Linked DNA regions of Rhinolophus ferrumequinum. The protein of the gene in region 1 interacts with the protein of each later gene in a pairwise test. Links are inferred from orthologs where the notes say so. Each region holds a gene or a part of one and is shown in the gene's direction. Other genes may lie near its edges.

Evidence for each region.
Region 2: the proteins of BAG6 (region 1) and TAC1 interact in a two-hybrid assay, tested with the Homo sapiens proteins (2 studies listed by BioGRID and IntAct). The link is inferred for Rhinolophus ferrumequinum from reciprocal best matches to the Homo sapiens genes BAG6 and TAC1.
Region 3: the proteins of BAG6 (region 1) and SERPINI2 interact in a two-hybrid assay, tested with the Homo sapiens proteins (2 studies listed by BioGRID and IntAct). The two-hybrid records come from large-scale screens. The link is inferred for Rhinolophus ferrumequinum from reciprocal best matches to the Homo sapiens genes BAG6 and SERPINI2.
Region 4: the proteins of BAG6 (region 1) and RNF126 interact in binary tests that used the Homo sapiens proteins (3 or more experiments, as listed by UniProt). The link is inferred for Rhinolophus ferrumequinum from reciprocal best matches to the Homo sapiens genes BAG6 and RNF126.

The regions. Positions count from the first base shown.
Region 1 is NC_046286.1:2,146,662-2,154,039, reverse strand, and holds the start of BAG6 (large proline-rich protein BAG6), read left to right. Parts: upstream 1-4,211; 5' UTR 4,212-4,350; exon of another isoform or gene 4,351-4,526; intron 4,527-4,991; 5' UTR 4,992-5,004; coding exon 5,005-5,118; intron 5,119-6,243; coding exon 6,244-6,361; intron 6,362-6,489; coding exon 6,490-6,686; intron 6,687-6,925; coding exon 6,926-6,979; intron 6,980-7,136; coding exon 7,137-7,211; intron 7,212-7,378. Other genes in the region: APOM (apolipoprotein M), read right to left, coding at 41-66, 463-561, 736-834, 922-995, 1,263-1,417, 3,954-4,070. UniProt on the Homo sapiens protein: ATP-independent molecular chaperone preventing the aggregation of misfolded and hydrophobic patches-containing proteins.
Region 2 is NC_046303.1:29,689,606-29,697,664, reverse strand, and holds the start of TAC1 (protachykinin-1), read left to right. Parts: upstream 1-4,938; 5' UTR 4,939-5,035; coding exon 5,036-5,164; intron 5,165-5,193; exon of another isoform or gene 5,194-5,342; intron 5,343-5,588; coding exon 5,589-5,720; intron 5,721-6,786; coding exon 6,787-6,883; intron 6,884-7,361; coding exon 7,362-7,406; intron 7,407-7,896; coding exon 7,897-7,920; intron 7,921-8,059. UniProt on the Homo sapiens protein: Tachykinins are active peptides which excite neurons, evoke behavioral responses, are potent vasodilators and secretagogues, and contract (directly or indirectly) many smooth muscles.
Region 3 is NC_046285.1:74,328,320-74,336,772, forward strand, and holds the start of SERPINI2 (serpin I2), read left to right. Parts: upstream 1-5,372; 5' UTR 5,373-5,423; coding exon 5,424-5,670; intron 5,671-8,453.
Region 4 is NC_046301.1:62,166,693-62,174,374, forward strand, and holds the start of RNF126 (E3 ubiquitin-protein ligase RNF126), read left to right. Parts: upstream 1-4,313; 5' UTR 4,314-4,420; coding exon 4,421-4,495; intron 4,496-7,682. UniProt on the Homo sapiens protein: E3 ubiquitin-protein ligase that mediates ubiquitination oF target proteins. Depending on the associated E2 ligase, mediates 'Lys-27'-, 'Lys-29'-, 'Lys-48'- and/or 'Lys-63'-linked polyubiquitination of substrates.

The DNA.
Region 1 (7,378 bases):
TCCCACTGAATCCATTTGGGGGCATAGATGAAGCCACAGGTCAGTCTTTGGACAACTTGCAGGCCTCTGGTGGGAGGAGGGAGAAAAGAAGAGGATGGAAAGGAAGTAAATCCAGGGACAGAAGCAAGGTTGCTGGTAATGGCTGGGGAAGAATGCATTCCCTCATTCCCTGTGTCAAAGAAGGGGTCTCGGTGACCTGTTTTCCTCTGCGTCTGCTCCTCTGCCCCCTTTATCCACTGCCAACTCAGAAACCTCTCTTATGAGTAGCCCAAAGCCCACCCTGGCTCCCTCTGGTGCCATCACAACCTATGACACAAATGGATGTGTCAACACACCTGGTGCCACTCTGATGATGTCAGCTTTGGGCCCTGCCCTCTGATGACATCACTTGTCCCTTTCATCCAGCACCCACAGAAGACTTGGTGAGTCCCAGTCCTCTTCTGTGGGACTTTACACTCTCACCTTGTTTCCTGGGAGTCAGTAAGAAGGCCTTGGAGTCCAGGCAGGAGGTCAGGGACCGGAATTCCTCCACACACTTCTCGGGAGGGTGTGGCAAGCGATCTGGAAGGGCAGAAAGGCCAGGCCCCATCAAACCCTCTACTTTTCAGCACCGCCCCTGGTGAGCACCTCCTGGAAGCATCCAGCCCTTCCTGGGATGATGTCACAGGGCCCAGAGTGAGGGACTCTTCTGCCCCTCCTGTGTTTCCCACCAACCCATCCTGCCTCCCTACTCACTGTAGAGGAGGAAGCGCTGATAACCCTGGCCCGTCTCTTTCAGCATGATTCCACCTGGGCAAGAGCTGGAGAAGAGCTTGGTCTTCATGTCTGGGCGGCCTGTCAGGGTGGGTTGGGGGGAAGTGAGAGGACAGAGATGCAAAACCAGGCAAGCCCAGGAGACTTGGGGAGCTACAGAGAACCAACCTTCAGTTCTGAGATCTGTGCTCCCTTCAGTAAGGTGGTAGATCCATTCCCGGGGCACACAGGACCCATTTTTCCTGCAAGGAGGAAAGACTGAGTGACATCCCCACCACACAGTACCAACCTTTATTCCCTCTTATTCCTTCTTGAAGCCCGGGTCCCCTTGGGTTTCAAGCTACCAAGGGATGGTTAGGCCCATCTCTCCGCAGAGGAAAACTAATAGAGCTGTTGAACTCAGTGGGCTAAAAAGAGTGAATATGCCAAACAGCGCAGCTTTTTGTGGGTGGGTGCTCACACTTTGGGCAGAGGCTGTACCTCTTGGTCCCTGCCCCCTCACCACTCACGTGCGGATGGTAGCATGGAGCTGGAGCTGTGTGGGTTCAGAGCCCACAGCCATGTTGAAGACAATGTTGTCCACAGGGTCAAAAGTCGCCAACTCCTCCTTGGTGGGAGCTGCCCCTGCGATGAAGTACCACTGGCCCAGGTGGGGCTCTGGGAACTGGAGAGACAAGGGGAGCAGAGGAGGGTGGGTCCCACTACAGGATTCATCTAACCTCTGTCAGGACAGCAAGACTTAGGGGCAGAGGTGTTGGCTGCCTTTTTCCAACTGGGGCTTGGATCCATGATAGGGAGTCATTAAATGACTTTTCCTCTTTGCCCTCAATCAACCTGAGTAACTACGCCCCCACCCCCTGCTTCCTGCCAATTCTACCATGTGTCTACATTGATGGGCATAGTACTGATATTTTTTTACTTGTCCTTGCTTTCATCATCACAACACTCACACTGTCTTCCTCCTTTCCTTTCCCAATGTGGCTTCCGGTCACCCTAGGCCACCCACTCAAGTCCCTCATAGCCCCCGCTATAAGCGTCCCCCTTTTCTCCATACCTCTTTCCCATCTACTCCCTGAGTTGTCAGTTGACTGTGCTCAGGGCACTGGTAGATGGAGTTAAGGAGAATGCCGTAGAGGTAAAGTAGAGCTGCCCAAATTTGGTGGAACATCTTCAAGCAATAGGGAGCTGGTGCTCTGCGTGCAGTGGCTGGTGCTTTAACTGTTCTCCGCTGGCTGCTCAGTCCACTCTGCTTCCAGCCCCCTTGCCTCAACCCTTGACCCTTTTACCTGCTAATGAGTAACTTCAACCTTGTTTTCCAAGTATGGAGTGGTTCGGCCCTTCCTCCCCCTGTCCTAGATGCAACCACTCCACAATACCCCCTGGCATGTTCAGGGTCTTTGGGGAATTATAAGGAAGCTGAGTCCTGAAGGTAGAAACCTGTGTTCTTTCAACCCATATCTGAGCTGGATGTCTGCTGTGTTGTGCAGCACTGAAGAGAGGTGGATTGATTGATTCATTCACTTACGGTAGCAAACTCTTTTGAGTTCCAGCTGTTTGCCAGGAACTCGCTAAGCCTTGGGGACGTAAAAATGAGTAAGACACAGTCCCTGGCCTTGAAGAAGTCAGTCTAAGGAAAACTAGCTGTGTAAACAAATCATTGCAATACAACCTGGTAAGTGCTTTAGAACAGATATGAATCAGGTGCTGGGGCATGGTTGATGGGAGGCTTTCTCTCTGAAGTTTATAATTGGGGAAACAACATGTACACCATCCAGAAAAGTTCACTGACAGATGAGTTCACTGAGTTTATTACTACAAGAGGCTCCATAACCTAGTAGTTAAAGATGATAGACATTGGTGTCAGGCAGAATGGGCTCAAACCCTAACTCTACCAGTTACTAGAACTTGGACAATTTTATTAATCTCTTATGCCTGTTTTTTCACCTGTAAATGAGTAAATCATCAATCTCATAGGCTTAAAAGAGACAATGCATAAAAGCCCTTAGCAAAGGCCTGCACATGGCAAGTCCAAAGTAATTATTTGGTAAAATTAATAGTAATGTTTGTAAAGCACTTATAGCTTCCGGTGGGTAATAAATTCTCAAATAGGAGGTAAGGAAAGAATTGTCAAGAGGCAGTCATTGGATAATGCCAGTTGAGTTGGGTGGAGTTAATGCAATGAAAAGGTGGCGCTTCCTCAATCGATTTGTAACTCAAGACTGACAAAAGATTTGTCCTGCGAGGTGAGGCAGGCTTAGGGTATATGAGGGTGCATTATACTATTATTTTTAAGCAATATTTGACATTTTAAATAATAAAAACCAATTTATTGGGGCAGTAGAGGTGCCTGACCCAGAAGGGTCTAGTAGGCCTGGATTTGTCAGTTTTGCCACTTACGTTGGCTAGGTGTACGCACTATATAAAATGGATGTAGTAACTATCTCAAGCGTTCAAAGGCTTTTAAATGTGACACTACATAAAACCCTTAGAAAACTGGCTGGCACAAACTAAGTGCTCATTAAACAGGTGTTTATCAGAACTCTTACCTGAAACAGTACTGGGACATGGGTATAGATAAACAACGAATCCCAGAAAGGCTGGGCGCCAGGGGCCGGCACGCCGCAGCGACGGGTAAGGCTGGGGTTGTGGCTGCGCAGAGGGGCCCAGACACTAGCCCGAGGGCGGGGGTGGGAGAAAAGGGCAGAGAGGTAGTAACTCTCTGGACCTTAGCCTACGGAAGCACTTTGGCGGTCCCTTCAATTCCCCAGGGTCAGTTTTGTGTTTTGGTCCAGTCGAACTTCATTTGCTCCCAGCTCCCAAACTCAGAGGTACCCCCCCGACACTTTTTTCTTTTTACAAAAGTCATGCAAGGTAAATCCTTAGTTTCTCCAAAACATGGCGTATTCCCTCGGCCGCGCACTGCCGGTGAGGAACATGGCGCCCACACTCCGCAAAACGCCCACCAGGCCGACCCGAGGTCAGGCCCAACGACTCGTCCGCATTCAACACAGCTCGCGAACCACCCCTAACCGCCTAAGGAAAGGGTGACTTCGGGAGGCGCCATAGGAGTGGCGTAGCGAGAGTGAGAGAGATGGAATTTTAGGTGGCCAGGACAGTGCCGTCTCAAAGTCTCTGCGGACTAACATAGGTTAACGAGACACAATCCTCAGTCGCCAAACTCCAAGATCCATACAACCGACCAAAGCGTCTTGAGACAGTCGTAGTCTCATCTGGTGATTTTTTTTTTTCCAGGCATTTGTAGTAGCCACCTCAATCTCCCACTGCACAAGCGCGCGCCCAGAAGAAATTAACAGCATCAGACGATGGGGCGGTGCCTAACTGTGTACGCATGCGTACTGCGATGCACGCAGGCGCAATACGGCCCCTCGGGCGACGGCGGCGGCGGCTTCTCGGGGTGCTCGGCTCCCTCCCATCTTGGCCGGCCCTGCCCGTCTCGCCCCAGGAACTCACTGTTTGGGGCCGCGGACTTTCTTGTCGTGCCCCAGGAAAGTAAAGCTTGGGACCTGGGGGAGCCGGAAGTTCCGCCTCGCGATTTCCAAATACTGTCGGGGAAACGGAAGTGGCCGTCCGTGGCAGGTTGGAGGAGACCGGAAGTGACGGTACCGGGGGGAAGTCGGAGGCGGAGCCGCAGGGTGGTGTGTGTGTATTTGGTGTGTGTTGGTTGCGACGCTCTGCTGGAGAACCGAAGGAAGGCGGAAGAGGGGGGCAGTCATCTAGCCAGTCTGGCCCCCCGTGAGTGTTCGTCATCTCGGGTCTGTCGTGACTTAGGCGGGTTTAATGGGCGTGGCGCGCGTGCGCGAAACCACTTTCTCCGCAGAGTCTAGCGCGACATTCCCTCCACCCCACTCCTCCCCGCTCTCGCGTTGTCCCAGGGTTTGCCGTCTTCTGGGGTCCTTGTTTCGCGACCGGTGATGACACTGGTCTCGCGCTTCCTTCCCTCCCTGCTTCCTAGCCCGACTTGCCCTCCCTTATTGTGATTGGCATCGTGGAGCCCCTCCCACCTCCCCGTCCCCTTAGCTCCCTGTGCGGTCCGTGTCTTGCCCATTGTGTTTTTCCCTGTGCCCCGGAATCAGAAGGGGGATGGGGGCGGGTGTGAGTGTGTGTGCTTGTGTGGGAGAAACTCTTTAGGTATTGGGGCGGAGACTCAGGCCGGAGAGGCTTCTGGGTATATAAAATCTGCTCTGGGCTACAGCGGGCCTCTCTCCATTCTTCCTTAGAGAGCTGTAGGCCATGGAGCCCAGTAACAGTAACAGTACCAGTACCACTATGGAGGCGCCTGACAGCCTGGAGGTGCTGGTGAAGACCCTGGATTCTCAGACTCGGACCTTTATTGTGGGGGCCCAGGTGAGACCCCAGTACTTCTGGAAGACAGTCATTTACCCTTTCTCTTGTAGGTCTCTTAGCCTGAGAGAAAAACCTGATTTTCTGGTCCTCAACTTTTCTTTCGTTGATTCCTTTGTTCATATTCTAGACAGAACATTTTCTGATGTTTCTTGTTGAGTGAGAAGGTATGGTTTCTGTTGAATGAGGTAGATTTTGTTTTGCCTTCCTCCACCTTGATAGAACTCATTGCAGAGGGAAATAATGGAGGGAGGAGGAATCTGTATGCCATCATCTTGAGTGAACTGCAGCTCAAAGGCACAGACATGGCTCCTGCCTTTGGGAATGGAAACAGAACACAGAGACCCCAAAGACAAGTGTGTCTTAAAAACAAAAATTGGTCAGGTCTCTATAGTGTGTTTTTAAAAGCGAGAAATGAGAACTGGTAATGCAGGTAGATCCTTAGTAGACTGTTGAGGGGAATAACTAATGTTTGTGGTATAATTTGAATCTTTGGAGCTCAACAACATGGATACAAGTATCCATATTACTACTCTTGTAATATTTGGAGACAGACTTGTGAGAGGTTGGTCTGTGGTTTTTAAAACACAGTGTTACGTGTATTTCAGAAAACCATGTAGGTTTTTGTGATTATATGTACGTAAGCAGCCTGATACTTCCCAAGAGTCAGTTGCCTAATTAGGAAAAATGTTTTTCTTTTTTGCTGCCTTCTCTCTTTTTCTTCCTTAACCTGATTGTCCACCCGATTTTCCGTGTTGTTACTATTATCTTTGGGATTAGAGTTGTATCATTTTGTGTTTGGGGAGGGATCACTGGTATCTTTAGACACACATTTCTTTGGGAGCCAGGCAAAGGAGTGAAGGGAATGTCAGTTGGCTTTTCTGTTTCTCAGCCATGTACTTTTCTCCTAGGCCTAGAAACTGAATTTCCTTATGTTCATTGTCTGTTTTTGACAGGAGTTGTCTGAGTTTGGGGCTTTGCGCCATCCTTACCTCACAGTCAAGACAAGTGGCTAGTGATTTTATAATGGGATGGTTTTTACGCTTCACCCCCAGAAGTCATTTGTCCCTCTTCTGTCCTTCCTCTTTCCTTCATTCCCTCATACTTGTGTGTGTCCCTTCTTCGCAGATGAATGTAAAGGAGTTTAAGGAGCACATTGCTGCCTCTGTCAGCATCCCCTCAGAGAAACAACGGCTCATCTACCAGGGACGAGTTCTGCAGGATGATAAGAAGCTCCAGGAATACAGTAAGGGGGTGGGGGAGGCATTTGAGAGGTTGAGGTAATTGCCCAGAGGGATGAGCTGAGATGGAGGGTTTACCTGATCATACAATGTTTTCGTGTTTGTTTTGTTTTGTTTCACTTTTTCTCCCCAGACGTTGGGGGAAAGGTTATCCACCTGGTGGAACGTGCTCCTCCTCAGACTCAGATCCCTTCTGGGGCATCTTCTGGGACAGGGTCTGCCTCAGCCACCCATGGTGGGGGACCCTCATCTGGTCCTCGGGGGCCTGCGACCTCTGTTCATGACCGGAATGCCAACAGCTATGTCATGGTTGGAACCTTCAATCTTCCTGTAAGCTTGTGTTCCACATGGGATGGTTTTTGTGGGGAAGGGTAGTTTTGGTTGTGGTAACAGCAGAGGGCTCTTAAGACAGGTGTCGCAGTCTTTAGATTGGGGTTGGAGGGCCCTGCGGTCTGCTAATAGCCGCAGTCTTGAGGGGAAAAAGGGTGGGGCTCCAGAGAATGAGTTGAAAGTGTGGGGGCCTCAGTATTTGGCTTCTCCCAGAGCAACTTCCCTTACCCTTTCCCCAGAGTGACGGCTCTGCTGTGGATGTTCACATCAACATGGAACAGGCCCCGATTCAGGTATCATGGGGCCTGGGAGGGTCAGCGAAGGGGATCTGGGAGAAGGAGGCCGTGAGGTGGGTCGGACCTGGTTGAGGAGATGCTGGGACCTGGTTCAGTAGGCTGTGGATCTCGTGGCTTCATTTCAAACCTGCCCTGATCTTCCCTCTCATTGTAGAGTGAGCCCCGGGTTCGGCTGGTGATGGCTCAGCACATGATCAGGGATATACAGACCTTACTTTCCAGGATGGAGGTAAGTGTCAAGGCTGGCTAGGGTCTGCTGTCACTCTGTCTCCCCATGCTCCCTCCCCCTTTTCTCTCAGCCTGGGGGTGAGGCATGACTGGCCACATCCACTGGGAATCTCTTTTTGCTAATCTGGTCTGTTTGCAGTTCTCGTTCTTTGGGGAGAAAAAGTATCT
Region 2 (8,059 bases), on another chromosome or scaffold:
ACCATAGCATTCTTTAAATGAAATTTCCACTTCAAAGATATATTTAAAGACCTAATACAATAGAATTTTCCTAAATGAAGAAAGAGAATAATTTGCAAAACAAAAACAGTTCATGAAACTCCAATAAAATCAGATTTAGGATGACTAACAACAAGACATATCCTAATTAAACTATTAAATGTCAAGAATAAAGAAAGAATTCCTCAGATAGTCAGGCAAAAAAGCAAGTTACATACAAGCTTAGGGAAAAATTGTCCCACCTCAGAATTCTCCATAACATTCAGTTCCACAGGACAATGGAGAAATATCCATAAAGTACTGTGAAAAATAAAATTTAACTTTAAAGTATTACAACTAATCTAGATGTCCCTTGAGCTTAGAAGCCACAGACAGATATTCACTAGCATGAGAGAACTCAGGGAACACAATATGTGTCATTTCTTCCTGAGGAAAAAAATTTGCTTGACAGTGACTTCCAGCCAAATAAGAGACGATTAAAAATAAACTTGAGAATGGCAAAGCTCAGTAGTGTGTCTACCTATTACATTGTTTTGTACACCTGAAACTAAAAATCAAACAAACAAACAAACAAAAAACTGGTAGTGAACAGTGAAACTGTTTAAATACAGGCTGAATAGTAGACATTTCAAATACTAATAAAAGTATGGTAGCAAAACTAAATCTAAGTATTATAAACCTGAATAATTTTAAAATAATCATGTAACTATCAAAATGGGGAGATAGGAGAAGGGGAAATGGGAGAAAGTTTAAGAGTGCTGATGTCCTCATCTTTCAAAACAGGGAATAAAGAGATATTATCTAAATGTCTATTTTTTAATGTTACATGCTAGCTTCTTAATGTTTATTTCTAAGTCTTGTTTTTTAACATTAACGGGTTCTTTTGAAGAAAAAATATCACGTGAAGAAACATTTTTCACTTTTTTTTTGTTTTTCTACTGCTAAAGTCAAACAAAATATAAATATCTTTCATTAAAAATATTTTTGATGGTCTCATCCTGTTTTCATAATTTTTACTTATCTGTCTACTGTTCTATTCTTCTAACCATATAATATGCATGGAAAGATATTCACAATGATGTTCTCTTAATGCTAAGGATGGCAATTTCTGAATTTGCAATAATGAAAAAGAAATACATTATTGTACTTTTCTGCATTGCTTTGTTTTTCTATAAAGATTGTATCTTATTTTACAAAAACAATCAGGTGACTATTTTCCCATTAAAAAATTATAAGCAGTATATCAAGATGTTAACAGTGGTTTGTTCTGGCTTATGAGAAAATGGATAATATTAATTTTTTTCTTTGTAATTTTCTGCAGTTTTTTTAATTTACAAACATAAAAAATGATTTATTAACTATTTACTTTTTCACCATTTTACTTCTCATGCATATGTATTTTATTAATATATTTTTTCATAAATTTGATGTTCTGGGAAATAAAACAAATAAAGAGTATAAATATCCCAAATAATAAATAAAATACAAATAAAGAGTATAAATATTCCAAAGAAAACCATAAAGAATATAAATGTTCCAAACCCGCAATGTTCAAGGACAAAGCGTGTCAGTAAAGGCATGATCAGACTAGGAGCACTAAGTTAGCAATTAACGAATGACATGGAAAAAGTGAGAAAAGTATTCTTTAACCAATTTTATCTCATTATTATTTATTACTCAAGTATATGAAACACCCTGTGTTTTGTGTACTGTGGCATATTTACAACGTATGGCACCTGACTAGAATTATACACCTGGTGACATTGAGCTAACAGGGAAGAAATAGCCATCTTTATTGTTACCTTATAAACCACATCAGCAACTGAGAAACAACAAAAAAAAAATTAATCTAAAATACCCCACTTTACGTGTGGAATTTTAGAGTGTGGAGAGGGATATGAACATATATTTGCTTATGTCAAAATAAAAATAACAACAATAACAATAACAATAATAATAGAAGGATAAACTAAAAAACTGAAAAGAAATGCTACTAGAAGGAAGAGGTTGGAGGGACAGAAATTAAAGCTACACTTCTCTGAATGCATTATGTTTTGAATATTTGAGTTTGGAACTATGTATTTTTACATAATGTTCAATTTAAAAAGCAGTCCCTAAAACTCAAAATCAAAATGATCAAATGAACCTATGTGTTTAAGAGTTAGTAGCATAACTATACAGAGAAGAACTTTTAAAGTGACTTTAAAATATAGTAAATGGACTGAACATACCTAGTGTGATATAGCCTAAAGATAAAGACATGCAAATAAAAACTATTAATCTGTTTCTAATAATCATATTGTTGATCATGTTGGCATTATGCATTGGGATAAAGCTAATGAGTAATTATGTTGACGTCACTGGGAGCTGGAATTTTTTTGGCAGGATAGAATAGATGCAAAACAGAAGAGGTTAAGGAAAGAGACTATGGTATCCTGATTTGCAGAGGAAGTGTCAATATACAGTTATGATTTTACACACAAACATTTCCAGTTCTATTCATTGAAAAGGTCTTGAAACAATGAAGTACTCAGTAGTAATATGCATCCACAATGCCCAGATTATAATCTCTAATTATCATTTCTACAAAGGAAATGAGAGTGCCTTAAATGCAAATTGCAGGTCTGAGAAAGAAAATACACAACTTAAACCTGGCATATCTTGTCTCACCAAAAAACAAGACAGCCATTAAAGCCTATTCAAGACACATCAGAAGTCTCAGGAACCAATGTGAAATGTCACCCACGGTCCAAGAAACTGGATAACTTGAGCATCAGTTAGAAGAAGGCCTGCTTCTATCCTTCTTTAAAGGATTGAAATACTTCACATGTTTAATTCCATGAGGTCATAATCATCCTAAAAGTTTTGGAAAAAACGTCCATGCTTGAATGTTTTAATTTACCAACTCATTTTTAAAATTGGTCAAAGGAAGTAATCAAGCACTTATCCCGTCTTTCTTATATTTATAATGTCTTGGAGTAATTAAATAGTTGTTGAGAGAAAATGTTTCTCTTTATATGGAAGAAATAGTCCAGCTAACCAATAAAGAATGAATGATAAAATCAGAATAACACTATTTTGAAAGTACTAATGAACTAATAGATCTAGAAAATGATCATTAAAGACTGCTAACATCTCAAAAGAAGAAACAACCAGTTATCATGTGTTTCCTAACAACACGTGCAAAGCAGCTTTGTCAGAAAAACCAAACCTACAGGGGATCAAGCTTCTAGATACAACTACCAATTAACAGGAAACAGGACAGAGGAACAAGTTAAAAGAAACCATTAGGAGGCAAGCAGTAAACTCCAGAATGTAGTACACTTTATTGATTACTTTTATCCATAAACTATGGCTTCTGGGAGATTTTAGAGATATACGAACCAAGTGCAGGGTATGATTTCAACTAGTAAACTGTATGGGGTAGGGATTTCTGAAACAAGAGGAATATTTGAACATTGACTGGATATATAATATTGTAACGAATTATTTTGTGTTGTTTTAGGTGGAATAATGGCATGGTTCTGTTTTTATTTTTAAAATCTCTACCATTATATAAATATACAGGCATGCTGAAATATGTACAGTTGAAATGTCTGAGATTTGCTTCAAAATAATCTGAGTGGAAGTGAAATAGGAAGGATTTCTAGATAAAATTTGCAAATTGTTTCAAGTGGATGATTCTCTCTACTTTTGTATATTTAATATAATAATTTTCCATATAAAAACTTATAAAAACAAAAAATAGAATGCCTCTGGTTGTGAGGCTAGGCCTAAAGAAATGAGAGACACATGGGAATTTCAAAATGCAGGGTTATGTAAGAAAGAACATATATTAGAGGAAAAAATTACTGGTTTATATGGGTTGCGAAAATTATTTATTTTATGCATTACACTAAATACATCGGAGTTAGCTGCAAAATATAGTACTTACTGAGTAAAGAGGAGAAAACATCTCCACCAAGAAACATCATTTAATTCATTTAGAGATGAAAGAAATGTGTCTGCAAGGCAAACCATGGGCTCATGGAAAGCTGTGATTTCTGTACAGATATTATTAGGCTAATAGTTTCGTATTGTTAATGACCACGCAATTAGCATCTTCACTACACTTGTTTTCAGATATAGGAGAAATCTATGAATGATCTTTACAGTCGTTTAGCGACACCCGGTAAGTATCTGGTACCATCTTGCCGGTTTCTTAATCTTCAGCAAGAAAGGGTAGGAGAGAAGAAGCTGAATATCCTCTTTCCCCCTGCTTCTGGATGTGGCAAGGAATAGGACTTAGCTATTTTGGAACAAAAGATATCCTAGAATGGCACTGAAATAAAAGTTCTACCTGCAGTATCACGTTTAAATTCCCCTTTCTCCAAAACCTGCATCCATCCTCTGAAATACTTTGGTGACTAAAAATCCTTTTGTAATGCTGAAGATATTCGGGTATTCCAGCTGATATGGGAGAAGGATGTTCTGCCCATGGAAGGAGGCTGTATCTCAGAAACACGTAAGACAGTCTGCAGATGGAAACAGAAGGTGGAAAAAATGCCTTCCACCCCTCCTCCCCCATTTGAAGTGCTCCTACTTTCTTAGCACGATTTCCGACGACAAGATCTTAATACCTGAAGTTATTTGCCCATCCTTAGAAGTGCAACTTATCCTGACGTCTCAAGGGACGGAAAAGTTGCCGAAGTCCGAGGAATGAGTCACTTTGCTCAATTTTGATGAGTAATCTCAAGTGTCAAGGAACACCGTTTGGAAGAAGGAGAGGGGAGGGGGCGTCAGATCTGCAGACGGAAGAAGACTGGCCCCTGGGGATTGGATGGCGAGATCTCGATTTTCCTAAAATTGCGTCATTTCGAACCCAATTGGGTCCAGATATTATGGGCACCGACCGGTTACCGTCTCGGAAACTCTCAATCAGACGCAAGCGAAAGGAGGCGGCTAATTAAATATTGAGCAGAAAAATCTCGTGGGGAGCGAGTCACGTGGGTCTAGAGGCTCGTGGAGTCTCAGATAAATGCAGCACCTCACTAGGCCGGCAGAAAGCGCGCTGCGACCTCCTCCTCCATCGCCACAGCGACCCAGTGTGGAGCGCCCCGCGTGCGCTCAGACCAGCCAGAGCAACCCAGCGGGCTCGGCCGCAGCAGTAAGTGCCCGAGCCCTGCCGGGGGGCGCGCCGCGCCGCGCGTCGCTCCGAAGTGGCGGCTGACAAAGCTGCATGGGCCAGCTGGGGCGAGAAACAGTGGGGGTGCAGCAGGGAGACAGGTATTCCAAATGCCTCTGTGCCTCTTTGTCTTCCATCTGCGGAGACTCCTGGCTTGAAGGTGTGGATTGGTGGGTCGGGGGCAGGGGGAGTTGGGATCTAGGGAGAAGGGGATTCGAGAAGCTTTGGGGCATGGTTATCTTTCCTAAAGGATACAGGCGGGACTTCAGCCCTTAGACTTTTTATCTTGGTTCAATTGCCCTTAGTTCTGTTGTGGGACCGACAATTTTGCTGCTCCAACTCTTGGATAGCCACCCCCGATGCATGTATTTTTCTCTCCTCGATCTCTTCTCCCCACTCTGACCAGAAATCCAACATGAAAACCCTTGTGGCTTTGGCAGTCGTTCTTCTTGTGTCCACTCAACTGTGTGCAGAAGAAATCGGAGCCAGTGATGATCTTAATTATTGGTCGGACTGGTCTGACAGCGACCAGATCAAGGTGAGCCCTGGTCCCAAGCTGGCCCATGTCCTTTTTCCTGGGCTTGGGACCTGTCACTTCCCCCCACCCCTAGTTAGCCTGGTGGGCACTACGACCGCGACCACAGGCAGTGGGGGCACACGGGGGGGGGGGATGTAAAGGAAGCTACTCCCTGGGACCCGCACGAGATTTTGTGCCCACCTTCCAAGTTTCTTCCCGAGGGCTGCGGGTCGGGTCTCCGGAACTCACTGAAGCAATGATGCCCTTCCTGATGAGCCCGGGGTCCTCACAAGGCTGGAAACCTCAAAAGGTTTCATCCCCAGGTAACAGGGATTTCGGGGAACTCCAGTCCAGCTGCAAGGACCTGGCGTTTGGAAACGCTGAGCCGGGGTAAAGGAACGCACCCCGGACATAGGCAGAAGCGGGGACGAGGGGCGAGCTGCTGGGGACTTAAATGAACGGAGGTGGATGGGAAGCTAACGTGCTGCCGTGGCGTTTACTTTACGGACCTGAACACGTAGCTGCCAGTTTTTCTTTACATGGCTCGCAGGTTCTTGGTACAAGGGAGCGCGCCTCGCTGGAACGTCGCTCTGTGCGGGTCACTTGTAAAGCTTTGTCACCCTTTCCCACTCATCCCCGACAGACACACCACACCTGTGTGCATTTAGAGTGGCGAGGCGTCTCCAAAGCCGGCGCCAGAGCAAGACAAAGTCTGGTGGCTGCGCTGCAGATGACGGAGGGGACCCGGGCTGGGAAGAAAGAGTGGAAAGTGTACAGGGCTCAAAGACACCGAGCCTCCTGCAAACTCGCAAGGGTTTAGGGGAGGCAGTGAGCTGCACAGGAGTTCCGCTGGGAGGGGTGGAGGCAGGGGGCGCCCTGTCCTGGACCCCCCTCGGCCGGGCGTGGGTAAGCCAAGCCTCCTCTCGCCTGCCTGTGGAGCCAGCTTCCCTGTCCTGGCCCCACCGGACCCCAGTGCGGGCCGCCGAGGTTCGCCCAGGGCTGGAGCGCACCACGGTAATGACTCAGGTTTCCGGGAGCCTCGTGCCGGTTGCCTACACGCCCATTTGTTCGCACGTCTGTCCCCCAGGAGGAGCTGCCTGAGCCCTTTGAGCATCTTCTGCAGAGAATCGCCCGGAGACCCAAGCCTCAGCAGTTCTTCGGATTAATGGGCAAACGGGATGCTGGTGAGATGGGCAGCCATCCCTCTCTTTATCTCTCCCGGCAATCCGCCGGGTCTGCCCACTCATTCTCAGGGCACTCACTCTCTCTGGCTCTTTGACTAGAGATTTCTAGCCTAAAAGGGGTGAAATTCCCCCTCCCCACCCACCCCTGGGGCGGCGCTTGCCCTCACCTCACTGTCACACGCACATGCCCGCGGAGGGAGGGAGACATCTGTTTCATATGCCTCACAGTGTTGTAACCAAACCACCAAGAACAGGAACCAACCTTAGCTCCCTGGACTAAAGGTCCAAACTGACCAAGCAGGAGCCTCAGGGAGTAGTAGTCTGATTAGTCTAAGTGCATGTGGAAGCTGATTATAGACGATTGGGGTTAGAAGAGACTTAGCTGCCCCTTGTCTAGTGATAGAAATATTCACTTTCTTTGAATTCATGTACCATCAGTGGGACCTGTGAACAGTTAATGTCAATTGTCTCTTGTCAGATTCCTCAATTGAAAAACAAGTGGCCCTGTTAAAGGCTCTTTATGGTAAACATTTCTATAAATCTTTATTTTACTATTGTGAATACATATGTAGGAAAGTGAAAATGTCTTTTATAGGCTGAAATACAGATTCTTGACTAAGTTTGTTTAATAAAAAGATGGATTTGGGTATCTCTCCCTCTCTCTCCTGAGTGTCTAATTCGTAGCCATCCTTGAAGATGTGTTTCTTATAGGAAAACAGAGGAGGTATGGCCTAGTTGTTAGCAGGCCTCAGGAGACTCATACTCCTGGATTTGAATCTGTGACCTATAGAAAGCACTTAAAAATATTGTGTTGTTTGTTAAAATATTTTGCTTTATTATCGATAATTTGGTGAACATTTATGGCTCTGTTATATTTCTCAGGATAGTACAAGAATGGGCAATGTTCCATATTTTAAAAATCAACTTATTTTATATTTCTCTTTAAAAGACATAATGTAGCCTCTTTAAAACAAATCTATTGCATTTGCTCATTTTATCTTTCTTTCTTCTAGGACATGGCCAGATCTCTCATAAAAGTAAGTTCAAAATTATTTGCACATTTATCAAACACAAATGTAAAAGATTGAATTCCACTTTATATAACACCTGATCTTATTTCCTGCTTCAACTTGGGACTTAATATTTTAAATTAAGACAATATAAGAATGGAGGAAC
Region 3 (8,453 bases), on another chromosome or scaffold:
TCCATTCATCATCCATCCTATTATTGAAGGTATATGAAAAGAATTATTTTAGTTACCAGACATACACAAATGGAGGCACATAAAATGCAGTGGTTTATTAAGCAAAGATTGAATGGGTCCACTAGTTTTTCTGGTAAACTTGGAAACTATTTAACTAGACATATTAAAAAAATTTTTTTTCACTCTTGCAGATAACTTTGAAGTGATTAGTCTGAAATAGTCTGGTTCAGACAGACAAACCTATCTATAGCCTACTATGTGTACAAGGTACTATGCTGTGTGTGACCCGAATCCTATCCTCAGTTAACTTCAGTGTCACTTCTGTGAAAGGAATTAAGAGGAGCTATTGCACAAGTATATTTAATGAGAATAGAATTTTTAAAGTTATGAAAGTCTCTTTTAATGTTATTGTTTCTAATACTAGGAATAAAATGCATACATAAAAAGAAAAAAAGATATTTAGTTATTGTTTTAGTTTTATACCTTATAGCATCTAATTGTGCTGGATAGGTAGCAGGGTCTCACCTACCAAATGTTAATATAACTGAAGACTTTATGAGCTATTTCTGAAATTAACATTTAGGTTTAATTATTTAAGATCCAGTTTTCCACAGTGAAAAGAACTTGTCATATTAAAATAGGATGTGCCATCATTTTTAATAAGCTACTTTGTAGTATGAAGATTTACACTAAACATAATTTAACCTGTTCTCTTTTCGGAACATTTTCCTCTTATCACCCAAAATATGTGGAACAAACTGATAAAGGATAAAACTGTCTGAAATTAATCCATGGAAGAATTAACTTTTAAGTTCTTTATTTATTAATGAGAGCATTTGATTATATGTTTTTTTAAGTTTGAAATTAAATATATTTTTAGTTAAAAAAAAACCTATTAAATGTGAAGAAAGATGAGATTAAACCTGTCACCCCTTGCTAGTATTTTTATACATCGTCCCAGGTTTATTTTTTTACAGTAGGGGTGACAGTGATGGTGCTCAAATTTATACCAAAACACATTGGCTGTCACTAATGAATAATTGTTTTTCCTGATGTGTTAGGGGCGACATAAGAGTTGTAGAAGAAACAGATTTTTGAAAATATTTAAAAGGTTTGCAGTAACATTTTATGGACACTTAGGTTATCTTTATTAAAAAGGTATTAAAGTAGCTTAAATCAGGGAGGAGAAATTCATGGCCATTGCTTTTTACTTCCCAAGAGACAGGAAAATGTATTCTTCATGAACTGCTCTACCATAAGGTCCTTACAGAACAACTTCATTAAATGATCTTACTAAGACAGAGTGTCTGTCTCTGTCACTGGGAGGAAAAGTAATGGCCTATTCCTGGGGAAATCGCATTATGATCCAAGTAATGTACAGACATAATAATTTGGTAGCCAAGTGTACTTGTGATGGATGTTTGCTGGTGTCACTACGTGGGTAAGAGAGCATTGATTGAACGACAGTCTTGGACATTCAGACTTATTATTTGTAATTGCAGAGTAGAACAAAAAGAATGATAGGGTTCTTGCGTTGCATAACTGTGTTCCGGAAAATTATCTCTAACACTGTTAAGTGGAAAGCTGGCAATGAGATTGTTTATGTTAGATTAAGTAGTGGTAGGATATAACCCAGAATTTAGAAAAATAAAAGAGAGATACCTAGATGGTTAATTAAAAATGTTCGTCTACGAGTTTTGGTTTCTTTATTTGTTTGTGGTTTTCCTTTGTTGTTTTCAGTTTTCCATCCCACATATCAGTGAAATCATATCGTTCTCAACTTTTTCTGTCTGATTTATTCTGGATGGTGAATGTGATATATATCCCACAATGTGATATATAGATGATGTATTACAGAATTGTACACCTGAAACCAATGTAACTTTACTAACCATTGTCACACCAATAAACTTTAACTAAAAAAAAAAGAATCGTGGTAAATTAGGAGATTATGGCCAATAACAGTCATCAGGCTACTCAGGCCTCTTATAAAGCTATAGCCCTATTAGGACTGAAAATTGTTAACAGAGTCCTTGAAAAAGTATTTCAAAAATAATTCCTTTTAAAGGTATCTATATTCATTTTATTTATTTTTAATGAATTTATCAGAAACAATATTACATTTAGTAATCAATAGTGAATACTTGCTTAATTGTAATTGGAACATGTTTTTTAAAGCTTAAATTATTATTTTGTTTTTTCAGTTACAGTTGACTTTCAATATCACGTTATATTAGTTTCAGGTGTACAGCATAATGGTTAGACATTTATGTAATTTGTGCAGTGATTCCCCCCGATTAGTCTAGTACCTCTTGGCACTATACATAGTTGTTGCAATATTATTGACGATATTCTCTATGCTGTATTTTACATCCCTGTGACTATTTTGTAACTACAAATTTGTATTTCTTAATTCCTTCCCTTTTTTCACCCAGTTCTCCAATGTTCCTTTGCTCTGGAAACCATCAGTTTATTTCTGTATCTCTGAGTCTGGAACTAAATTTTCATTTCTCTTATCAGAGGCCACTAACAAATAATCCAATGTGTTTAATAGCTGATTGCCACTGACGTGATTGATTTGAACTAGAACAATAACATCAAAACCCATTCAATGATGCAATGATGTATTTTTTATTAATGAACTGTCTGTAGACGAAATCATGTAAAATTTAAAAATCATGTAAAAGTAAAACCTATGTTTATTATCAAATTCCTTATGTTGAATAGTATTATCTTGGTATAATTTGGTAAATCAATAATTTTAATCTGGTCTTTTTATTCAACAACATAAGTATTATATTTCTTCAATATCCAGTTTTTTCCCAAAGGATTCAAATGGACCTTATATCCACAGGAAATTCCTTTGACTATTGTGTAATTTGATGAATTGTTGAGAATTCTGCAGCAGTAATTTGTCTCTGCATTCTGGACTTGATTTAGCTTTATTCTTTTTCTCATAGGCATTCTGAAATATTATGATGGAATATATTGGTAATCTGATATGGGAGTCCTGTGAGAAACAAAAAGAACTAATTACTAGCAAATTTAGAAGCACAGGCATATTCTTTCAAATTCAGTTTCTACTAATAAAAGAAGTGAAATAATGGATGAGATAATAATACAAACCTAATGATCTTTTAAAATTCTATTATTGTTTTCTCTCTCGATTCTTCGATATTTCATCACTGGTAATTAACCTGATCATGTGAGTCCTCTTATACAAATGTGGTGAACACCTGCTTTGGTTTTAGAGGAATTAATCAAGCAGTGTTCAAGATAAACAGAGTTGGCCTTGACCGATCAGGTATTCCATGTTCTAGTGTTTCCCAGAAGGGATATTTTAGTTATAACATTACCGTGAATACCCAGAAGCAAATTTGGGGTAAGTACCTTAAAATTAAATAGATTATGAATATAGTATATATGCTATAATATTGACTCTGAGTATTTAATAGAATAGGAATACATTCCAATAAACTTTGGTAGATAGTGTTTAAATTTATCAGATTAGCATATTCCTCTTTATTCTCCTTAAAAGATGTCACACATTTAAATATCAAATTCTTATAGAACTATTCGTCAGGTTGTTTAGTTCATCAGTACTTTGTGATTTCTGATGAGATACAATCCAAAGCCAATGAGGTAAGTGAATTTTTAAAACCAATTTTTGTATGCACTTGTAATTTATTAAGTGTCTAGAAATGTTCTAGAATAAACGGATGCTCAAATAATGTACTTTTTAAGTGTTAATGTTGTTAATAATAATGAGAGGAAAACTTCCAGGTTTTACTATAAGTAAAAATTATGTATTTTATGTAATATTATTATGTAATATTATTTTTCTAATACAGACTAAATACATAAAGATGTACATAATGGAATGCCACTTGATGACTTAAAAGTACTGATAACATTTTGACTATATATCTACAAACCAACATTTGGGCAGAAATTTTCTGAGATATATAATATATTAGAAAATGATACACAGAAATTTATTTTGCATGTATAACTTCTCTTATTCATTAGCTTTTACTATTGTTGTGCTGCTATTTACAATCTTATATTCTAATTTAATCCTCGGTAAAGCATTTGCTTGATAGCATATATATATATATTTATATTTGTAGTTTATCAAAACACTATTTTCTAACAATTGCCTTGGATTAAATTTGGATTACATTTTCCTTTGCAACTTGTATATCTAGACAAATAGATTTAACTACATATATTAGAAAACAATTTGAAATATCTAGATAATGACTCCACAGCTTAGTTTTGGAGAATGTTTGACTATTAGTAATCTTTATATGTAAGAGTGATTTTAGTGACTCATAACCCATTCATGGGTCATGGTGACCTTCCTAATGGTGTGCAAAACACTCTAGAAAGATAGTTCTTCATTTCTTTAAGGCTCACAATACATTATTTTGAAGGCTTTCATCTTTACCTCCAATGAAAGTTTACTTCCTAGTAACTTACTAAACTATGGGTTGTTAAGGGTTACTAAAGTGTATTATCTATAAGGTAAAATTAGTGTTGCTAAAACGTATGAGTCCTTCAGAGTGTACTATTCCAAAAGTCTTTGGTAAAATTGCAAAATTCATTCTGTTCAAGATGTAATTTGGGTTGAATTTCCTGCAGTTTTAGTGGAGAGTATTTTAATAGGGTCTCATTACTGTTGTTGTGAATCGGTTATAGTTTTCAATTGAAGTTTTCTTATATTTGTTGTTTGTCAAATTATTCTTTGATTTTTTTTAATGCTCCCTTCTTTTGTTATAGCTGTACCATTTATATTTAGTTGTAATTTTGTTTCTTTTCTCTCTTTGGAAAGGTACATGTGGGTTTTGGGGTATTTTGCCCTACACATTTCATAAAGTGTGAGAATTCCTATTGTAAAAAGCCAGATTACTTAATCAATTTAGAATACATTAACTCCGTAACATTATAGGTCCCAAATCACAAAGGAGTGTGTTCATTTTTTATTCCATTTCTCTTTTTTGATTTATTAACCATTCTGGAGTAGTCTGGACAGAGGGTTCTCTTGATATCAAAGTTACAGTTATCCCATTTAAAACCACAGGAAAAGATAAGAAAAAGATCATATAGCTATTTAGGTATATTATTACTAATTATTATGCTCCAGAATTATAATTTATCCTTTGATTTTAAAAAATCGCTATATATTTTGGACTGGTTCTTGAAGGAATATAAAAAAAGACCATTAGCCTATAGCCTATTTCTCTAATAGATGATGCTTAGTCTGAAAACTGGCATTAGAATCTTCTTGTGGTAATTTGTCCTAACAAGACAGAAAATTCTAATAAGTAGAAAGTTTTCTGTTTAGTTTTTTATATGGTAAAACTAATATATTTATTAGTTTTGAAAACTAATGTATTTTGAATTGATGCACAGAGGTCAAAATGGATAAGATCTTGTTGTGGAGTCTCCTATTGACTTTTTCTGGAAGTCAAGCCTCAAGATCCTTGGCTCAAAGACATACTGAATTTGCAGTGGATCTTTATCAAGCTATTTGTTCATCTCATAAGAACAACATTATATTTTCCCCCCTTGGAACAACTTTGGTTCTTGGAATGGTACAACTGGGAGCAAAAGGAAAAGCACAACAGCAGATAAGACAAACTTTAAAATTTCAGGACACCTCAACTGGTGAGATTTTAACATATGATTATTTATATTGGATAAGATCTAGTCAAATTTATTTTTTAAATATTAGAGAGAAGTTCAGGGTCATAGAACTTTAATAAATTAAAAATATTATAGAAAGATTAAAATTATAATAAAATGAGGAATTGTAAATGTAAATGATATTTATTCATTTATAATCATTTCATAATGAAAATGTTGCCAAAATAGTTTAAGAAATTAATTCTATACAGATGTAAAATTGTGTATATCTGTATATTTTCTTCTACTCTAATTTAGCCCGTTGTAATTAATTGAGGTTATGTTGTACGTGTGTTTTTATACGTATACCAGGGGTGCCAAAAAATGTGTATACAAGTGGACACTTTGGTCAACGTTGCTCAAGCAGTAGTTTGCTGTAATCAGAAGTGTCTGGACGCTGATGGTAACCACTTTGAGCATCTCTTGTAATTGCAGAAGTCAAACGTGACTTGTATTCATCTTTTGTTATGCATTGGTATTGTATTCATCTTTTGGTATACATTGAGTATTATAGTTGCAATACAGTTTTCCTTTCTTAAAATATGTATACATTTTTTTTTGGCACCCTCTGTATGTACCTACATATGTATATACACAGATATTCTTCCACTATCACTTACTATGTTGTGATTATTTTCTCATATCATGCAACTACTTCAGAATATAATTTTTAATTGTTGTATTTTACTATCTCTTATGGAAATACCATCACTTACTTAATCCTTCTTTATTAGTTTGCTTCCAATACTTTTTTTATTAAAATGTTTTGGTGAGTACCCTCACCCAGAAATCTTAGTGTGCATCTCTGTTTTGTTAGCTTTTTAAAATTAATTTTCTAAGTAAAATTTAACTTTTTCACTTAAATCAGATCAAGAAAAAGCATTGATGTATATATTTTAAAAGCTTATTTGGTTAATAGTTTTTAAAGAAAATTTTTGGAGATAAAAAGCATTTATACAGCCCTTCAGAGGCCTTTTTGAGTGTGAGTGGTTGTTGTTTTGGAGTATCCCAAAGGTTCATCTGAAATACTGTATAGAAGCTTTAGTGCTGGCATTCCATTTGAAGGGGTGGTTGCCTATTTTCCTGACTCTTCTGTGTTCTCAATTTCCATAATAATTTTAATTTCTAACTTTTACATCTCTGTTAGATAATCCATCCTGAACATCAGAGGAAACATCCAGGTTTTTGATTTGGGAATTTATTCACTATGACTAATTTCAATATGTTTGCCTTAGTACAGATTAGTTATATGTAGGAATTTGTTTTTCTTCTTTACAAGGTTTTACTTGTGTTACTTTAAATAAAGTCAATTTTATAGAGAAAAAAAGTTGGTGATAATGAAATTCATTGCAAGGGTTTCCCTATGTGAATAATGGAAAATGAAGCTACTGTGTTCCAGATTTAGTCTTCACTGTCTATAATAATTTCAACAAATCCCACTATACAGTCCCAGAAACATTTCAGTCCCATGATACTGCTTTGGAAAGTAATAGAACATTTATGAAGATATGTAAAGTTGAATCCATGATAAATTAGTAAAATTAGAGCCTCTGAAATCTAAATTACTTTAAATGGATTTCATCTTATATAGAAACACGTGTCTTAATAACTCTAGGTTGTGAATGAAATAATAATCATAATGATAATGATGTCACTTTCAAGTATATATAGTGTCACAGTCACTGTTTTATGTGCTTTATGTACATGATTTCATTTAATATTCATAATTACTCTGTAAAGTAGACATAAGCCTGCTGTACAGATGCGGACACTGAGGCAAAGAAAGATTAAGTAACTTGCCCAGAACTATTCCAAAAATAATTCACTGAGGGTTATAGATCACATGAGCAATAAAGAAAATTTCTATATTTTCCTTAGAAGAGTACATATGGATAATTTCACATTAACATTTTGGCACATATAACAAAATTTACCAAACTTGCTTTCTATTATGCTCCCTTAAGGGAGATACAGATAAAAGATAACTGCAAAAAGAAAAGAAAGACTAGCCAACAATGGAGAAGATATGAAAAAGAAACTCTGGAAAAAAAAAGAGGGGGACACTAAGGAATAAAGAAAAAGGAAACACAGAGTTAAGGGAGGGAACAGAGTGAATGTGCAACAGGATGGAGGGGGGAGGTCTGCAGAAAGAAGAGCAAACTAGCACTAAGGGTAGAATGAAGGGTGTGACAGATCAGAAGAAGGTAGTGTCTGGCAGAGCCATATTGGAACCCAAGAAAAAAAGAATAATCAGTAATAATGATCTTGCCTTTATTTAAAGTTTTCGTATTTTGTTCATCATGGATTTACGTTAATACTGATTTTTAAAGTGCAGAAGGTGCCAAAACAATATATACACATTTTAAGAAAGGAAAACTGTATTAAAATTGTAATACTCAACATATACCAATAACAAAAGATGAATACAGGTCATGTTTGACTTCTGCAATTACAAGAGGTGCTCAAAGTGGTTACCATCAGCGTCCAGACACTTTTGATTACCGTGAACTACTGCTTGAAGCAACGTTGACCAAAATGTACACTTGTATACATATTTTTGGCACCCCCGGTATATATGTTGCAATAAAATATTATTTATCTTGATTACTGAGTTTGATAGCATCTTTTTAAATTTTATGCGCAAGGTGTCTCTGACTTATGTTAGTCCTAGCTCTGCCTTCAATACCCACTGATTGTCAAAAGATACACTCTGTTGAATCAGTCTATATTTTACTTTTTTCTGCTAGCAATCTGTTTTACATTAA
Region 4 (7,682 bases), on another chromosome or scaffold:
AAGGGTGTGCGGGGGCTAGACAGTGCGACCTTGGCCGAGACCTGACCCTGCTGTGGCTTGGACACCCGGCCTGGGCTGTGTGTATCAAAAGGTTATTGTTGGCCTGGTGCGGGTTCCAAACGGAGGCCAGCTGCCAGCGGCCGCCTGCTCCCTAGCCTGGTGTGTCCTCCCAATGCAGAGGCTGTGTGCTGGGTGACCTCAAGGAAGTCACTGGAACCTCACTGGGATCCCCCTTCTCCCCTTTTCAGTGTCTCTCTCCCGTTCGTGCCCTTCTCTCCACCCTGACCCAGCCTCTGCCTCACACCCTGCATCCCATTACCTACCCCAGCTGCCATAGGCTCCTCCCCAGCTCAAACACCCACCATGACTTCCTGTGGCCCCTGCTCACCAACCCAGGCTTCTCTCTGTCCCAGAGCCCACAGGCAAACAGGCAGTGACAATCCAGTGTGATCAGAGCTGTGATGGAGAATGCCCCAAGGCTATATCTGACCCAGCCTGGGGGTAATTGAGGAAGACTTCTCAGAGGAACAAGACATTTAAATTGAGACTTGGCAGTTGGACTGAATGGTGGGGAGAAAGGGGTAGGGGGTTGCGGGTAGGAACAGCAGTACAGTAATGGGATGTTTGTTCCACAAGTAAGAGAAAGCCCAGCTCAAAGGTGGTCTCCTGAGATGACTGGTCCTAATCCCTAGGCTCTGTGACTATGTCACCTTCAATGAAATCTTTGCATCTGGGATTGAGTTAAAGCCCTTCCGATGGGAAGATTATACTGGATTACCAGGTGGCCCAGTGTCATCACAGGATCCTTAACAGCGGAGACATCTCTCTCTGTAGTTAGAGAGATGCTACACGAAAAGGACGTGACCCATCATCGCTGGCTGTGACGATGGAGGAAGGGACCTTGGGCCAAGGAATGTGGGCGGCCTCTAGGAGCTGGAAAAGGCTGGGAACAGCTTCTCCTCTGGAGCCTTTGGGAAGGAATGCTGTTCTGCCGACACTTGGACTTTCACTTGGTGAAACCTGTGTTGGATCCCTGACCTCCAAAACTGTAAGAGAAACATTTAGTTGTTTTACACCACCAAGCTGGTGGTGATTTGTTACAGCAGCCATAGGCCACTAGTACAAGCAGGAATTGTCCATTGGATTTGGTGTGTCACCACAGCGATCCAGTCCCTGCCAGGCTAGAAACAAACCAGGGAGTGAACACAAGTTGTGAAGGCAGATGGCAATACGGCGAACCTGGGAGTATGAAGTTCATGGGTCTCCAAAGAGGTGACCCTGAGGCCTGAAGGGAGAAGGAGGTGTTTGTGGAAGCCCAGTCCAGGCTTTGCCACCTTGGCCAGGCCACGTGTGCCCTCTGTGTGCCTCTATTTTCTCATCTGTGAAATGGGCACGGATCCCAGTACTGCAGATTCCAGCCAAGACAGCAGGGACAGTGCCTGGCGCACAGTGAGGGCATGACATGTGTGCATGGATTCTTATGAGTCAACTGATGGGTGTTTGGCCAGGGCAGTTGCATGGTGAGTGTTCTTTGCCACTCACCACAGTACTGTGACGCAGGAAGCCCTTTTACAGAGGGGCAGCTGAGGCTGGAGGAAAAGAAGTGAGTTTCTGGGAGTCATGAAGTCCCACAGCACTGGGACTGGAGTCAGACCAGGTAGGCAAGATTCCAGGAACTGTATGCGGAGCTGAAGGGCAGGGCCATTCCCTCTCTGGACTGGACAATGTGGACTGGCCCCTTGGTTGTAGCTGGTAACTTCCCTTCTGGCGCGAGCATGCTCCAGGCAGAGGAGAAGGCCAGTGCAAAGGTGCAAAGGTGGGGAGAGCTGGGATCTACAATCACAGTTGCCAGTTACGGAGCAGCCTCCCTGGGAGTTCTCTGGGTACCCCGAGAGACCCATTTTGCAGATGGAAGACTGCAGCTCAGAGAGCTCTCTGACCTTGTCCTGCAGTGTCTAAAGGGGAAGGCACAACCATGTCGTGGGGTTTGGGGAGGCATGGCCCTGGCTTGACGTTATGAGGAGGCACATAGCTTTGCTTCTGTTCTGGGTCCGAGGGAGAAGACACAGCTTTGGCCTGAGTCTGAGGGAAGAGTCATGGACCTGCCCAGGATCTGAGGGGGGAGGCACAGCCCTGCCCTGGGTCTGAGGGGGGAGGCATGGCCCTGCCCTGGGTAGTCTTAAGGGAGAGATATGGCCTTTGTTCTGGGGGTCTGTAGAGGCCAGGCCCCACTCAACCTCCACTTCCAAAGCCTTTCCAAGGAAAGTTTCTGGGAAACATTGAAACCTGTGTCTCACGATGCCCAGCAGTCAAAGAGCCTCTTAAGTCTGTCCCATCAGTGGCAGCAACAAGGTGGTCACAGGTCACAATTGGATGCTGGAGGCTGTGGAAACTCAGGGCCGCTGGGCTACCCATGTGACCAAGTATGAGCCTCAGTCTCTGTCTGTAAAATGGGGTCGTAATTGTCCCACCACATGGTGCTTGTGTGAGGATTAAACTTCAGGCCTGGTACCTCCTGAGCTTGTCATTTTGAAACAGAAAAATTGTGTGTTCTCATTCCCACTGCATTCCCAGAGCCTTGCCTGGGCCTGTGCACAGCAAGCACTCACTAAATGTTCAGTTATTCGAGACTATTGAACACCTACTATATGCTGGCTGTTGGTCTCACTTATTGGGAGACATCATTGATAACTCCTGGATCATAGGATGGCTGTGGGTGAAGAAATCAGGGTGCTAAGCAGTGGGGTGTAGTGGGGGATACAGCTCCTCCAGGGAAGGGGTCAGGCAACCTTTTGAGAAGCAGGGAAAGAGAAGGGACAGTGGGAGGGGCACTCCCAACAGAGGGCATGGTCAGGCAAAGGCCCTGAGGTGGGATCCAGTTTGACCCACCCCATGGGGCCAATGAAGCTGGGTGAGGGACAGATGACCTTAGGGCAGGCAGCAGAGCCAACCGAGGACCGAGGAGATGCCGTGGGTACCCATGTGTGCCTCAAGTCTCATCTAATCCTAAAACCCTGGGAGACAGTTTCTGCCACCTGCTCAGAGAGGTTAAGCAACTTGGCCAGAGGTCACACAGCCAGTGTGGCTTGTGGGATTTGAACACGAGTCTTCTGGTTCCAAGGCCTCTAGGGTGGTACCTCATAAACTTCTGCAGAATGAATGCATGAATGTCGGTGGTGTGAAGTGAGCCAGGGCAAGAGAGGCCTGAAGCAAAGGACCGGCCCTTGGTGGACCTGGGGATTTCCTGGATTCCCAGGGATGGAGCCGGCGCGCACTCTGGTGGTCAGAACAGGAATGGCTTGGAATTACCTGTGAGCTTTGAAGGGAAAAAGACCGTGGCTGGGCAGATCCCTGTCCCTAGGCTTTTGACATTCAAGACCCGTAATACACAGGCTCCCATGTTTAATTCCTCAACGCCCTGGCTCCGATGCCTCCTTCTCCAACCAACTCCTATTAATTCTTCCAAACCTGGCATCTAATACCCTCTCCCCTAGGAAGCCCTGTCTGTCTCCCCAGGCAAAACCAGGGCCATCCTAGAGTCCCATCCTTTCGCTGAACATCAGGGAGGGGGGTGTCTGCATCCATCTCTGCCTCCTGCAGCCATGGAGTATTTCAGAGCACCATTTTCATTGTTTCCCTGCTGTGTCCTTGCACCCAGCACAAGGTCTGGCATGCAGCAGTTGCTCAATGAATGTTTGTTGAGTGGGTAAATAAATAAATGCATGACTGGGCTGGAATTTCCATCGATCCTGTCCACATTCATTCACCGAGTGTTTATGGACTGCCTGGGAGGAGACACTGTTATTGAGTTCAGCCGAGAACGAAATACAAACATCCCATCTGCTGTGGAGTTGACCCTACATTTCATCAGGTGGTAATAGGTGCTATTGAGAAGGGCGTCTCAGTAGGTGAGATTTGAAAGACGTGAGGAACGCCAAGCGGGTGTCGGGGAACGGAGCACCAGACAGGGGCACAGCCAGTGCAAAAGGTCGGGAGGTGAGAGCGCGCTAGTCGCGTCCCAGGATCAATGAGGACAGTGAAGGGAGATAGTGGGACTTGAGGTAGGAGAAATAATGAGGATAGTGAGGGCTTTTGTGGGTTTGGCTGGACCTCGTTAGGCTCAGGCCCGGCTTCGCGGTCTCCGAAGCCGCCTCTAGGCTTGCCCCCCAATCCCTGCCCGGCGCTCAGCTCAAAAGACTCCCGCTTCTAGTTTGCCCCTCGGCGGCCACCGTCGTCGGCCCTCCGCTGGCCGTGCGCGCTGCTCGTCCTGCTCCCGCGCACCCCGCTCCGCCCCACGCCATGCGTGCCGTGCGTGCCGTGCGTGAGCGTGCGCGAGCGCGTCGGCCGGCGAGGGAGCAGCAAACGGCCAGCGGCGGGCGCCGCGCGGGGGGCGGGCGGCGCGGAGGAGGTGGCGGTGGCCATGGCCGAGGCATCGCCGCAGCCCGGACGGTACTTCTGCCACTGCTGCTCGGTTGAGATCGTGCCGCGCCTGCCGGTGAGCCCCGCGTCGGGGCGGCGGTCGGTGGGCCCTCTCCTTCGGCCTGAGGCGAGCTGGCACAGACGGGGAAACTGAGGCCCGGTGGCGTTGGCCCGGGGCTCAGCGGAGGGCCCCGAGGCGGGGCCTGTCCCCGGTGGCGCAACGGGGCCGGTGACCCCGGATCCGCGGCCTTCCGCCCCGTGAGGCCCCTGGGTCACCGATGGGGAAACTGAGGCCCGCAGAAGCCGCGTGACCTGCTCCGGCACGCCAGTCCAGGAGGAAGCGGGACGCCGGAGGAGCAGTGTCCGGGGGCTGTTCCCGGAGCGCGTGGTCGGCGTCGCTGCGGGCCTCCCGGTGGAAGCCCCCGTCTGCCCTCGGTCGTGGGGACGAGGCGGCTGCGGCCCTGCCCAGGTCCAACAGCTGCCCCGAGCCTGCGTTCTTGCGTTTCCCTGGGGCTTGAGCCTAGCCTGCGGCTCGGTGTTCTCTCCTGCTTACTTAGGCCAGTATCTTCCAAGATGGCCTGGTGGCGCCATGTGCGGAAGGGGGCTGCTTGTTCAAGTTTTCCAGGCCCCTCTTCCTAGGGTTTTTGAGTCAGTTGGTCTAGGATGGGACCAATGTTCCCCTACCCCAGGCTGACAGGGAAAGCGATGGTCTAGTCCGACCCTCTCCCACGTTACAGGTGGAAAAACAGGCCCACGTCCACTCAGGCTGGCCACGGTCCTGACATCTGCACTGACCCAGCTCACGGAGCAGGAAGAGGGAGGTGTGGGATCTGGAGGTGACGATTTATTGAGCACCAACAGGGTGCGCTTCTTGTCCTTTATCTCCACAGTCACCTGGCTGGTGGGTGGTAGAGCCTGTTTTGATTTCAGAGCCAGACTCAGTCCTGTCTTTCCAGCTCTGGGGTTCCCTGGGAGGGGCCAGGAGAAGGAGTCGGTCAGCATGATCCCCGCCACAGAGAAGAAGAGGAGCTAGAGGTAGGGTTTGGAAAGGAGAGAATGGGTAGCAAGGGGCTTTCCCCCTCCCCAGGGGAAGGGAGAAATAAAATGAAACCTCAGGTGTGTGAGCACAGACTTGGGGAGCGGGGACTTGCCCCACTCCGGCCTCCCGGAAGTCTTGCTTCTGCCTGTTTGGCTTCCTGCACACCCCGTCTCTGAGCCTTTTTTTCTGGACCGTGGCAGGAAGGTGCTGGTCGCCTGACAGCCCAGCAGCCTGGATTAGTTAGTTGCATGCAGCACTTCATAGGTGGTGTGAGTCCCAGGTCTTAGGCTCCAAAGCAGCCTGTCTAGAACCATCCGGAAGCCGGGGGCTGTGGCTGCTGTGGCAGGGCTGGGCAGTCTGCACAGCTAGGGGTTCTGGACCTCCCTTCCTGGGGCCAGCACAGGGCCTGGGTCCTGGTCATGTGGCCTTGGACCAGGAGGACCCTGACCTTTTCTGACTGTCACTGGTCTGATGAGGACATTCCTAGTCACAGAATCCAGTGGTGACAAGGTAGCCAGGATCTTTGCCCTCAGATTTTAGAGGCTGGTCAGGGAGCCAACGTTGAACACGTGATTGTCAAACATTTAGTCAAGAATGTTGGTTAAAGTCGCAAGAGCAAATCACAGTGGGGAGGGGCTGTTGGGGTGGGTGGGAGAGCGCCTGCTTGTGGGTTTGGAGTGGGGTTCAAGGAGGCTCAGCACACAGGATGACGATTATGAGCAAGGGCCACCACACCTGTTCTGGGGGAGGGAAAGTTGGCTCTTAACTGAGTGACAGTGGAGGGTCCAGCCAGCACTCAACCGGAAGTGGGGACTTGTTTGTGGGAAACTAGCCCCATTTTGTGAGACACTCTCGCGGCTTTTATGCAGCTTCTGGTGCTGCTGTGACAGGAACTGGCTGTCATTGTACCACCTGTTCAGGACCTTGGACTCACAGATGCCTCTCTGTACCTGCTGGCTTGGCTGGAGGGTCAGGCTGAGGCCACTTCTCAGCTGTGTGGCTCTGGGCGAGCTGCTCACCCTCCCTGGGCCTCAGTCTCCCCGCCTGTCAGATGGGTTCCATGAGGTCCAGTGGGAGGGCGTGTGCACAAAGGAGCCCAGCGCCTGACTCCTGGAATGCACAGGGAAAGGTGGGCAGCGTGGCCGGGGCGCGGCATGTGGGAGCAGGGACCAGACAGGCTGGCTGGCGTGGAGGCCTCAAGGCTGGTGTACAGGCCCAGGCTTGATCCTTACCAGGAAACGGAGCTCTGGGGACATGGGGGTGTGTGTGATGGCAGGAGCGTGATGTGGGCCTCATGTGCATCTGCTGTACCCTACATCCTCAAGGTTTGTCCAAAAGTCAAGCTCCGTCTGCAGGTTCCCACATGCCTGTCGTGTGTGTGTGTGTGTGTGTGTGTGTGTGTGTGTGTGTGACACGGTGTCTCCATCGGAATCTCCGTCCCTGTCGATGGTGTCAGTAGCAGGCTGGCTTGAAGTGTGTGTGGGACGGGCACATGGCTGGTGCACAGTGGGCCTGAGATGACGTCAGGTCCTGGCAGGGCTTAGCACCCCAACATCTAGCAGTGTGCATAGGGTGCTTTGGGGGACAGATGGGATGTGACTGTGGGATATGGGGAACATTTGGGGTGGGGTCAGCTTCCTACTGGGTCTGGGCAGGTGTGTCTGCCCAGTGACGTCTGAGGAGGGCCGTGTGGGGCGGAGGGAGCAGCCAGTGCACCCCTAGGATCCATCTGTGTTTGTGTCTGAGGCCAAATACTCCTGACGCAGTTCTCCGTCCGCCCTCCCTGGGTCTGCATTGCGTCTGGAGCCCTGCCTCTCCCGAGGGGCCTGGGCCATAGAGGCCGACATCACTAGACCTGTGATTCAGTGTAATTCAATGGGGCCAGCCAGCTGTCTCCAACTCAGTTTCCCCAACTTCACAGTATGCCCCTGGCCGTGGGCCTTTTGTCTGTGGTGTGAAGGAGCTCTTGGATAAAAGCTGGTGCCCATCCTGTGTCAAACCCCCAGGTCCTGTCACCAAGGAGGGGCCGAATAGTACCTTGGAATAGTATCTCCTGGGCGTGTCCTGGGGCCCAGTGCATGGAGCAGGTGCTCAGTGAATTTAGCATCTGTCTGTCTTTCTTGGTCTCCGCTTGTTGCTGGGGCTGTGGTGGTGACACAGGGGTGGGCCCCTTCCTTCCCAACCCTCCTCCAAGGGGAGAGGTAAGTAATTGACAACAAGTCAT